Linked DNA regions of Arabidopsis thaliana. The protein of the gene in region 1 purifies or fractionates together with the protein of each later gene. This does not show direct contact. Each region holds a gene or a part of one and is shown on either strand. Other genes may lie near its edges.

Region 1 (6,145 bases):
TTCTCGTTTGGCGACATTACGGAATTTTCCGTAACGTTTGGGTTTAGAACGATACCTTATATGTATTTCGAAAGATACATTATAACTCAAAGGAGAGCTATACAAGGGTCTACACAAAAACTAGTCATTGGGTTCTAACCAAGGGGAAGAATGAGAAGAATAGAGACAAGGAAATGCTCCAAATTAAACAAGCTTAAACTCATTAATCAGCGTACTATTTTGGAAATGAATACGTAGTTTATTATATCAAAGACCAATGTTTCACAACATCAAGCATTTGATTAGCCCTTTGAGTGGCAGATGAGATAACGAAAAAAAAATCGCTTGTAAATGATGATCCTAGGTTGTTTTCTATTGTGCTAGATTGAGAATTGAGCTAGAAACTTTGTGGAATCGGGCCACTGGAATAGATCTATGGGTAAATGAAAAGTTAAAAAGGAAAAAGGAAACGTTGAGCCCAAGAAAAGTAAAAGCAATATGATAAACACGCAAATATCATTCGTTCATTACAATGGGTGCATACTGGTAATGAAAAAGAAATTTTGTCTGGAAAGATGCTCCGACAACAAATTACAGTCGTTGTTCAATCGTCGTCCACTTTGCCTTGATTGCTTGGTTGATTGTGTTTCTGAGCTTGATACATTTCAGCAATCTGAAAATATGCATCGGAAATTTATAAATTAAAAACAAAAATCAGAAACCAGCCTAGTCATGTCTATGATTGTGGTTAGGGTGAGAAGAGCTTTCACCTGGTCAGATGTTGTTGCTTCCTCTGGATTCTTGTCTTTCCGTATACGGACTAGACGAGGAAATCGTAGAGAAATTCCCTTTTAACCATAACAAACAGAAAAATGAAAAAGTCCAATCGTAAATGCAATAGCTCAAATGAAGAAAAATATAAAAAAAATACGTATGCTAATGTTGAACCTTGTCAGGGTCCACAATTCCAATAGCTTCACGATATACAGGGCTAACTGTCAAGTCAGCTGCTTTCACTTCCCACACCTTCAAGCAAGCATATTATTTAGCTTTGCATCAATACACTTGGACCCATAAGATAGAACGTGGACGTACGTTATCTACAAATATTACTATAAGGCATACCTCGGTGGGCTCCAACCAGACATCTGGATTGAGATCGTTATCGACTTGGTAGTATTGCTGGTTTATAATCAGCAAGAACTCTCAGGCAACATAACATATATGGTACTGCATCAAACAAATAAGCTAGAGAGAAGAAATAATTATCTTACTTTCGGAGTAGCAATCACTTTAGAGCAAAGACTGGAAGACAAATCTTGAAGCTCCACATCAGAAAATTCAGTACCTACTAGCCCAATTTGTAAACAAAAATGTAGGAGAGGAAATTGAGAAACATAACAAAAAGAATGAAATGCCAAGGTGCATTAGACTGACCAATTTTACAAATGCTCTGGAATTCTTCCTTATCAACATCGTAGCACGCTAGTAAATATGCACCAAAGAAACCTATAAGGAGAGCATACATATAGCTTCCGTTAACAACATCACTTGTGAAAAAAATGTATCATCTACACATTTCGAATGGTGTTTGTACCTGTGCGTTTCCCACGTCCATGGAACGTAGCTATTGGTACAAGATCCACGGAATCTCCAATGCTGCAGCATATATACCCTAGAGTTAGTTAGTAAAGGACTCTACTATCTTAACTTTTAAATTTTTTTTGTTTAAAAGAGTATTATTGCTTGTCCATATAGTCCTTCTTCAGTTTTAGCCAATTATTTGATCTCTTTGCAGGCTCATAGGTTGCATTTGAGTACAATGACTTTATCATTAAACCTTCACATCTGCCAAAATAACATACTTGTGATGAAGAATTGAAACATCATAGAGATTATGAGGCAGTGTCATATGAATATTTACCCTATGTCAATAGAAGCTTTAAGAAACTCTTGTAATTCACCAATATCGTTGGATGTTAGAGCAGTTGCAAACTGGAAATACCCAAGATCTTCCTCAAATGAATCGTGTAGCTTCTGGCAGAAGCAAGGTGCAAACAAATGATTACATATTTGCACAACACTAGTTGCTTCACTGATAAACCATTTTACGATTTACTAATATATGGCTTACCTCTCGGCGAATGTTCAGATTCTCATGGATAAGTAGTTGGCCATTTAGGTATAATATATCAAAAGCAAAGACGCATACGCCAACCTTGATATCACTGACATTCACATTTTTATGGGCTCGTGTACTCTAAGTCTGAGAAAAGAAAACAAAGAAAACAAGACATATAAAAACCTAAACTATCAGTAACTGTAACAAGTTATCTTTAAACTAATGTTGGCAAAAAAAATTGTTGTCAAATCACCAAAATCTGGTCTAGTAGAGCTTAAGCTTAATTTGATCGTTCATTGGCTAACAAGAAGAAAAACAAGAATGTTCATATTTGCAACCATAAAGCCTGGCTATTGAGGTACCTGGAGTGGAAGAATTTTCTCTTTTTCTCTGTTGAAGGTGACAACCTCGCAATCCAGAATAAAAGATTTCACAGTGGGCTTCTTTAACCTGTATAGAGAAGATATTTACACTAACTTCATTAGAAATATGGGCTCATTCTAATTTTTTCAACAAGTAACAACACAACAAACAAGTGCACCTTGATAACACAAGAGCAACATCAGGGTACTTGCCAGTGTTTCTTTCAGCATGTCTACTGAATATCTCGACTGTACCATCCTCCATATAATATATCTGCGAGAATAGATTGATGAAAAGCCAAACGTAGCAGCACATATAAATAACTTTGCTTTACGAATAATAGCATTCATCGGATAAGAGTAGAAAGCAATGGATCACCTGTGCACGTTCACCATCATATTTGTATTCAGCTGTGAAAACAGTGTCCTTGAATTTCTCAAGTATGAGATCTACTCTTGTAGTTGCTTTTGCAAGCATGGGCCTAACTGGAACACCGAGTGTGAGGTTACAAGTTTTAGGAAGATTCCATACACCACTAGTTAGAAGAGCACCAACAATAATGTCATAGACAGGAAGCATTGAGAATACTTCTTTAACAATCGTTGCAGCCTACAAGGACAGACAACAAGGTAAGTTGTGACGTCTCTAAAGGAATACTGCAAATAGAGCCTAAAGCCACAAGTAACATCCTTGAGAAGCAAACCTCATCTAAAGGATTCTTGATATTTGGGGGCGGCTTAGAATGCTCTTCGTTATATACAGCAGCCTGTCCCAAGGCAGCTAAAACAGTTTGACGTGAGAACCCTAACCGCAAATTATCCTGCATTGTAACGGAATAAGGAACACAAAGGAATGAGCAGATTTTTTTTTTTTGTAACAATTGATCTAACATACCTGAAGTAAACGAGTTAAGTAAAGAGGTTCACAATCTGTAGTTGCCACAAGAAGTGCCTTCATTAGATCCTTCTTCTTATCCTTACTACCTTTTCCAGATTCCTAACACATAACATAGTCCAACAACTAATCAAAAAGAAAGAAAATTTAAAGCAAACACAAGAAAGTGTCTAAGAGAATCACCAACCCCACTCCTCTAAACTCTATTATAGAGCAAATTTCTCTCCAACCTACTTTTGTATCTCACTCTAAAATAAAGTAAAAGAGAGGATTGCTCTATATTCAGAGCAACTATTTTTACTACGCTCTATTTTAGAGTAAAAAAAATAGAGATAGATGGTCTAAAATACCTTAGCAATTAGGCGAAGTGTATCAGCAACCTTGACAACAGTTAATGGTTTGGGCATGAAAATCATAGTCTGAGAGGAACGGCTCCCATTTGCTACAAGCCCCAAGTCTCCCAGTTGCGTATATTGCTGCTCAACGTGGGACTCAGTTCTACCAAAAGCTTCAGAGATTGCCTTAATAATGTAGGAACCCTTACCCATTCCCAATTTAATACCTTCATGAGCAGGGGCAATCTCATTTGCAGCAAGATAAACAGTAGGTAGCAAATCATCAGGAGTAGTGGCGATAACGGTTCTCAACATGTTACACAGAATATGAGTGATGACAATCCTGCCACTTTCAGCTGCAATCAGATCAAAAGCTAAGGAGAGAAACATAAACGGAACTCTCTCCCGTTTCTCCCAACAAGACACTTTTCCGGATCGAAATCACTTGGCTTCTTCTTCAGCAACCCAATTTTGCTCTTCAGTTTGGTAACCCTATCTGATTTGGGTTTTTTCGAATCAGAAATAAGAACTAGGGTTTTGTCATCAACCCTAGTCGGTGGCGTATCTACGGTTTCCTCGAGTTTTCTCTTCTTCTTGGCGGAAGCATTCGACATGAGAACGTCAAATGCAGATATCACTATGTTATAAGCAAGAGCTTCTCCAGAAGAGTGGAGAAGAGAATCGATTGACGAAGAGAAGAAGATAAGAGCGAGATTATCCAACCCTAGCGTATCTAGAAAGTTTTCTGTTTTAGTATGATTTTTATTCCATTACATTCATGGAGCCAACCTGAAATTATAAAAGAAAAAATTAGCTTCATTTATTTAACCTTTGTTTTGTGCTAAGAATGTTCTACCACTTTGATTTCAATGGTTAACACGTAAGAGTTATGCATCAATTCCTCTGTTTAAATCCGATGTAGCAGAATCATAACCTACTAGAAATCCGGATTAATTGCTATTAGAATTTAGTGAGGTATTGTATTTATTTTAGCAACCATATTGCGGTCATGTAATTTAAATTTTTGATTGGTATTGGATGTGCAGGAAGGCATTGTCCATATGATTGTTACAACACATTTTCTGTGCCGTGGAAGCTAAACATCATCCTCGTATTTATTCATTTTGCAGCCAAACTCTTACCATATGCTGCATCTCTGGTGAGTAGTTACTTCAGGATATGTTAATTGCCAAAATTGAGGATGAAGCTCTACTCAATCACTTCAACCTAACTCAAATCCATGGGTGTAGGTAATTTCACAAGATCTTAATTTGCTTGAATTTTCATATCTCTCAGGTTGGTGTGATGAAAATCAAGATCTCTCGTCTGCTAACTTACTTCTCTGACCAGGAATGGCAATGCAACTAGCACATGAAGTTGTCACTAATGCCTCTGTGAATCTAGACCCAACATATGTAGAGGGGGTTTGATGCGGTACCTAGCAAAAATCTGTCGCTTACTAGTGGAGCTCTTCTTCAGGCTTTCAGTAAGAAAAAGAAGCATTCAACTAATTCAGGAATTGACGCAGAGAATTCTGCTTTTGAAGTGGAAGATAAAATCTCTCGAGGCACTGGAAGCTCTTCTCGTGGAGGATGATGACTGAGTTCCAAGTCTTGAGGAAGATGATTATCTCTCTTCTGATTCTGATTCTGATATTGAATCTTAATGCTAGACAAAAGAGTTGACAAATCTGTCCTAAAGAAAATGTTTTCTGTTTCTCAAGGTAAAAGAAAATGTTCCATTGAATAATTCCAAACTAAGGCACTAACCCTGACTATTCAGTGGCCATATAGTGTTACCAAGAACAAGTAGTCTCAACACTAGAATCAGCTATTCAGATAATCAAAATGTAAAGTGATCAAAGTAAATTCAAGGTGAATTAAAATTACTATCAGAATTAGCTGATTATCATATCAAAATCAAGTAATTTAAAGCAATTCCAAGATAGTTCAAGATCATACACGAACTAATGAAAATTTATATAGCATCAATAATCAGAGATACATCATAAAAAAAAGGAACAGCCTTGTTGGATCTTCAGCAACTAGAAATCTCCATTGTTTATTTCTGCGAACGAATCTTGTTGATTTCAGATTTAGCGTAATCAAGTTGTTTCTGCGCAGAGATTTTCGCTTTCTCGGCTGATGTGAGGAAGAAGAGGTTACCGTTTTTCTGGTAGATACTTCGAGAAGAAGAGAGACTGCTCAATTCATCTAACGAAACCTCTTGCCTCTTTATCTCTTTCTCAAGCTCGAATTCGCGATCCGACGAAGTTGTAGTCGCCATTTTTTCCACCGGTGCGGCAGCGACTGCGACGGAAACTAAATTTTCTTAGGTTTCTAGAAAAATAAATTAAAAAGAAAAAATTGGTAAAAGCCAGAGTCCCACATCGGAAACAAGTTATAAGATGATAGGTTTTGGTCGAGTATAAATAAAGCGGCTTTGAGGTGAG
Region 2 (4,976 bases), on another chromosome or scaffold:
CCATCGTAGTTTCCATACATAAACGAAGCTCTGATGAGATAAAGATTCCCTTTTCCATCGGAGGGGGTTAAGGTGTAACAGTTCCTGTTTCCTTGAGGAAAAGATCTTACATCAGCAAGCGGGAAAGGCAAAACCGGGTTTTTCGGGTAACCGTATTCTTCAGAGACGTTCAGATTTACTCCAGCGTTGATGAAAGGTGCATCCCAGGTGTAACTGATACCAGTATCAGTGTCTACATAGTTAATATTAGGGGGTGACCCACAATCTATGCTGATGAAACCTGGACCAGAAGAAGGTAAGGGTTTTGATTAATTCTACAACGTTGAGAAAATTTTCATCAAAATTCCAATGCAGGTTTAAATTTTAGAACCTAAAGCATTCAATCATAGAAACAGACTTGGACCTCACTTATCATGTCAAACCAATAATCAGAACACGGTTTTGGCCAAAATGCAACCACATATATCAAAACTTCAAAAATCTTTGGTCTGAAGATTGCTCATTTTCAAATCAAAACAGACTCTAACAGAGGAAAATAAGCGAGAATGAGACTCACGAACCTGCTTGGCCTTGGCCATGTACTACAATGGCAATGGCAATGACGGAAAAAAGGATGAGAAAAACAGAGTGAGCTCCCATGTTCTTCTTATTTTGTAAAGCTCAGCTCATCATCGTCAGAAAAACAGACAACCTGCGTTTAAGATAACACAAAAACACAAAAGACTAGAAAGTACAAAGTCTATGCCCATTTCCTCTTCTGGTAGCAACAAAATTGACCTGGAGGTGTATAACATAAGTGCTGCTCACGACTGAAAAAAGCGGCCAAGAAAGAATATAAAATGGTAATACAGCTATCAAGAAGTAACCAGTGGGTCAACAACTAACGCATGATATATATATAACTCCAATAAAATATTATAACAAAACATAGCCAAGCTTGGACATAGCCGACAGATACAAAGAAAATAAAAATCTTTTCTGACCACAGAATTTGTAACCGAGTTTTGACATTAGATGATTGGGTCACATAGAGAATTACAGACTGTTGCAACCTTTAAAACCAGAAAACTTAAAAGGATAGTGAAAAGATTTTTTACTTAAGCTATTGTTTCTTTAACTGTTATGCTGGAGAGTATTAGAACTAAGCTTCATCTTGTACTAGCTGCTTTGCGGTATCAGCTTCATGGGATGAGCTCAAAGGGAATGATGATAACTCTATGTAATCAAAGTCCTCAGTGATTCCCGCCTGAAAGTTACCCAGCTGATTTAGTCTCTCCTTCATGTATGAGAATGTGAAATGTGGAATTTATAGCCTTTTGAAGTGAAAAGATCTGGAAGATACCTCCGTGTATAGATGTTCTAGCTGTTCCTTGGCCTGGGGGAAGTTGTTTGAACACCATTGTCGCAGTGTGAAGATGTTATCTGAGTAAGTTTGAAAGAATTATAATCTAGGCTGCAGTGAAAATTACGTAAGTATTAAAACTGAAAACACATTCCCAAGTTTTAGAAATGAAATACCTGTCCATCTGTTAGCCGACTGGTGAGCAACTTCAATTGCATTCCCTGTCAAAATTAGAAGGAATATACACATTGATACAGCTAGTAAAGCACAAGATTGATTCTTATTTCTGCTCCACGAAGACCGGGAAAACCATATAGGAGATCTAACACAAAACAAAAGTAACGTATTATGCAGAACTTAACTCTTTGCCTCCAAAGTAGCTGGATCGTTGTCAGCAAATTGTACCATCTCGTTCTGTTTAAGAAGAAGAAACTGTTAGCAACTTGTTAAGCATGTGAATAGCTCTATGCAAACAGATAGTCTGTATAATCTGACCTTCAGATCTTTGTGTTTCTTTTCAATATCTTTGAGTTGCGTCAAGGCCTCTGTTCGTTCCTCCTGCAGCAAGAACAGCAATTCTGGTGAAAAGCACACGTAAGCTTATTCGAGCATTAATTCTACAATACTGAAAATACTTACCGATTCTTCCCTTCCCTTCTTTAGGGCCTCACACTGATCAACAAGTTCTGCTAACCTTTTGTTACTACCCTGAAGATCAGATTCAAGTTTCTGGCGAACACTCCTAAGCTGTTCATTCAAAATGAGATCAGAAACAATGAATTTCGCTATGCTCAAATTAATATGAATCTTTTTGATGTCATCTCAGGATACAGAACGGTGACTCACTTGATTGCCAGCACAGCTGGGAAGGCTCCAAAAGTAGATCTTCATTTGCAAAATAATGAACACCGTCAAACAACATATAACAGAGACAAGGACTATATGGCAACAAATGAAATAAAAAGATCCAACATAGGAACACTAAGCTACTCACAGAAATTCCAATCTTGTCTTTCGCAACAAGATCATCATCGACTAAACTCTGGATAACATCTTTCACAGACTGACTAATTACACCCTTCTTCGGCCCCATCTTCTCAAGTTCCTTTAGCTGAAATTTTTTTACAAAAGTAGAGACCCATAAGTGCTTGTATCACAAACCCAAAAGTTCAATAGCAACAAATTTAGGCAGTATATGCACTTCACGACTCTAGATATCAGATCACTTGGTAGATAAAGCTAGTTCAAAGGCGTCCAAAAATTAGCAAGTTGTAAAAACTAAAGAAAGTGCTCACTAGGAAGAAGTCTTGAGACTCATAGAATATCTGAAGCATCTTCTCTCGTTTCTCCTCCAGCGAAAGTCCCCGTTTCTTAGACTGAATATCATCAACAATAGAAAGCAGCGATTCAGTTGATACGAGAATGACGAAAAAAAACTTCAGAGCTTCAATGACGAAATCCAACAAATGATCTGTCAACAAATAGTTTCCAGATCGAAAATGTCAAAAATATATACAGTCAACTCAGCGACTACACTGATTGCGAGAATTGGCTGCTAGATAAATGCTAATTCGAGAACCTATCGATTCGCGTCATGCAGTCCAAGTGTTTGCGGAAATTCCTCACACAAATTTGTAATGAACTACGGAAGATAGAAACATTACTACCGATGAACGATAAGTTTAAACAAATTTCTTCGAAGAGTAAGAGAAACACATAACGATGACTACTAAACATTCAAACAAATAGGTCGAATCAATACATCCAAAATTCTCTTGTAAGTCGAAGAATCACAAGCTAAGATCATCAGTGTAAGATAATCACGATTCATAGAATCATAGAGAATAATCACTCGATCTTCCCAGGAAAATGCACAAATCACAGAGGTTCATTAGCGAAACAAAATCACAAGTAGAGAACATTCGTCCAGAGTATATTACCATCGTGATCTCTTGCTCCTGGTGATGCAATCCAAAGGATTTCAAACACTGCTACAGCTCTCTCTCACTCTCTTCCCTCACTATCGTCTCCTCTCTTTATCAAATTCGAAATGAGAGAATTGTAGAAGAAGCCTTGAAAACTTAAGCGGGTTATTATCCCTCGCTTTCTGTTTCATTTTTTATTCCAATTAATTTGAATTTAACCTTAAAACGACACGGAGTCCAATTTTATGGTACCAAAACGGCATGATGTTTGTTAAAGCAGCGAAGTCAACGTATATGGTTGACTATTCATGAGTAGTCTTATCAGGCGAAAGTGATGAACATAGGAGTAAAGTGATTATTAACCAAAGGAAAAAGTGTCATAAAAAGATACAAAAATTACAAAAGATAAATTATGTGAAGAACACTCAAATTGCAGATAACATTAACGACGGGGATTATAAAAGTTTTTCGCTCCGAATTAATCTGATTCAGATCCTTATATACATCGTCTGTTCGTGTCTATCAATGCATACATGTCTCTGCTCGGAGAGGTGAATAACCTGCAGTTAAACCAAGCCAATTGCAAAACTAGTTAAATTACAAATCCATAGTCTGTAAGCAAATTGATTGATTTTGCTTTGATTATAGATAGAAGAGACCTTAGAGGGCCATCTCAGCCTGTAATGCAGCGAGTTCTTCTTCCTCAGCAGTCCGCTTCTGGGGAACAGGACGAGCCGGTTGACGCCCTGCAGGCACTGGAACTGAAGGCAATGGAGGAGCTGTTGTTGCCGGCTGTAGAAGTTGCGATTCAAGCTCTTCACTTTCTAGTTCATCAAGCTCTGCTGCAAGCTCATCCTATCAAAGAGAAGTTTTTCTTAGACAAAAGTCATTATTAGTTGAAAAATATATGATCATTTGGGTACAAGAAAGTTACCTCGTCGAAGTCAGCCGCTGCCCCCATTGGAGTCGCCAATGCTTCTTGGATCTGTTTCATGTTCTCGGTTTGCTCATTGATCTCGTCCATGGTCTTATCCACATCATCAATATTTCTGCAAAATATTGTGTTTTGAGTTAGTCAGGCACTAGAAATGTTAAAGCATTCAAGCACAAGAAAAGCATAAGTATTTTGAATACCAAGCTCGTATTAACGATTCCCAGAACTGATGACGGTTAAAATGGTAGTAAAGAGTAATATGGTGAAAATGTGATGAACACTTACGTTGCTTTCTGCATTGCCTTCATTGCAGAAGCTCCACTCCTCAATGCATCAACAGTTTCGGTTGTTGCTTTTGCACCTTCTAACATAATCATCTGTATGACAAAAAGATATAAGATCCCAATAAATTCATCTAATTACTGCTATATAGTTTATAGTTAACAATCTTAAAACAAACTCACTTGATCATGAATACGGAGCTGGAAATTCCCAAGCTGTTCGACTTGTCCCTCATATAACCTCTTCCTTTTCAAACACTGTATAGCCGCTGCAAAAACCCAATACAGCTTTTAAGTACTCCAGTGATTAGCAACACACATGAGTCATAATAAATAAGAGGTCATACCTCGTTTGTTCTTAGCCCGGGAGTATTCTTTTGCCTTCTCAACCTCTGCACCAGCTTTCTTCAAGAGTACTTTCTCCTTTTTCTCTAGCATCTCAAGCGTCTGCAATGAACAAATCAACAAAATTTGAATATGGTTTAAAAGCAAAC

Evidence for each region.
Region 2: the proteins of AT1G49250 (region 1) and ATMND1 fractionate together in Arabidopsis thaliana (co-fractionation; one large-scale study listed by BioGRID). This does not show direct contact.

What each region holds. Positions count from the first base shown.
Region 1 is NC_003070.9:18,218,695-18,224,839, reverse strand, and holds AT1G49250 (ATP-dependent DNA ligase), read right to left. Parts: upstream 4,308-6,145; coding exon 4,139-4,307; intron 4,050-4,138; coding exon 3,709-4,049; intron 3,461-3,708; coding exon 3,359-3,460; intron 3,285-3,358; coding exon 3,168-3,284; intron 3,074-3,167; coding exon 2,843-3,073; intron 2,738-2,842; coding exon 2,643-2,737; intron 2,639-2,642; exon of another isoform or gene 2,552-2,638; coding exon 2,464-2,551; intron 2,240-2,463; coding exon 2,114-2,239; intron 2,017-2,113; coding exon 1,904-2,016; intron 1,828-1,903; coding exon 1,726-1,827; intron 1,639-1,725; coding exon 1,577-1,638; intron 1,489-1,576; coding exon 1,417-1,488; intron 1,328-1,416; coding exon 1,254-1,327; intron 1,162-1,253; coding exon 1,105-1,161; intron 1,006-1,104; coding exon 928-1,005; intron 828-927; coding exon 750-827; intron 653-749; coding exon 584-652; 3' UTR 515-583; downstream 1-514. Other genes in the region: AT1G49245 (Prefoldin chaperone subunit family protein), read right to left, coding at 5,755-5,979.
Region 2 is NC_003075.7:14,381,294-14,386,269, reverse strand, and holds ATMND1 (Mnd1 family protein), read right to left. Parts: upstream 3,435-4,976; 5' UTR 3,286-3,434; coding exon 3,283-3,285; intron 2,814-3,282; exon of another isoform or gene 2,719-2,813; coding exon 2,638-2,718; intron 2,454-2,637; coding exon 2,337-2,453; intron 2,228-2,336; coding exon 2,189-2,227; intron 2,090-2,188; coding exon 1,982-2,089; intron 1,901-1,981; coding exon 1,838-1,900; intron 1,757-1,837; coding exon 1,705-1,756; coding exon of another isoform or gene 1,700-1,704; exon of another isoform or gene 1,564-1,699; coding exon 1,519-1,563; intron 1,423-1,518; coding exon 1,343-1,422; intron 1,247-1,342; coding exon 1,142-1,246; 3' UTR 805-1,141; downstream 1-804. Other genes in the region: RHS16 (root hair specific 16), read right to left, coding at 1-280, 561-639; SNF7.1 (SNF7 family protein), read right to left, coding at 3,928-4,122, 4,202-4,316, 4,487-4,578, 4,666-4,751, 4,830-4,929. UniProt on the Arabidopsis thaliana protein: Required for proper homologous chromosome pairing and efficient cross-over and intragenic recombination during meiosis.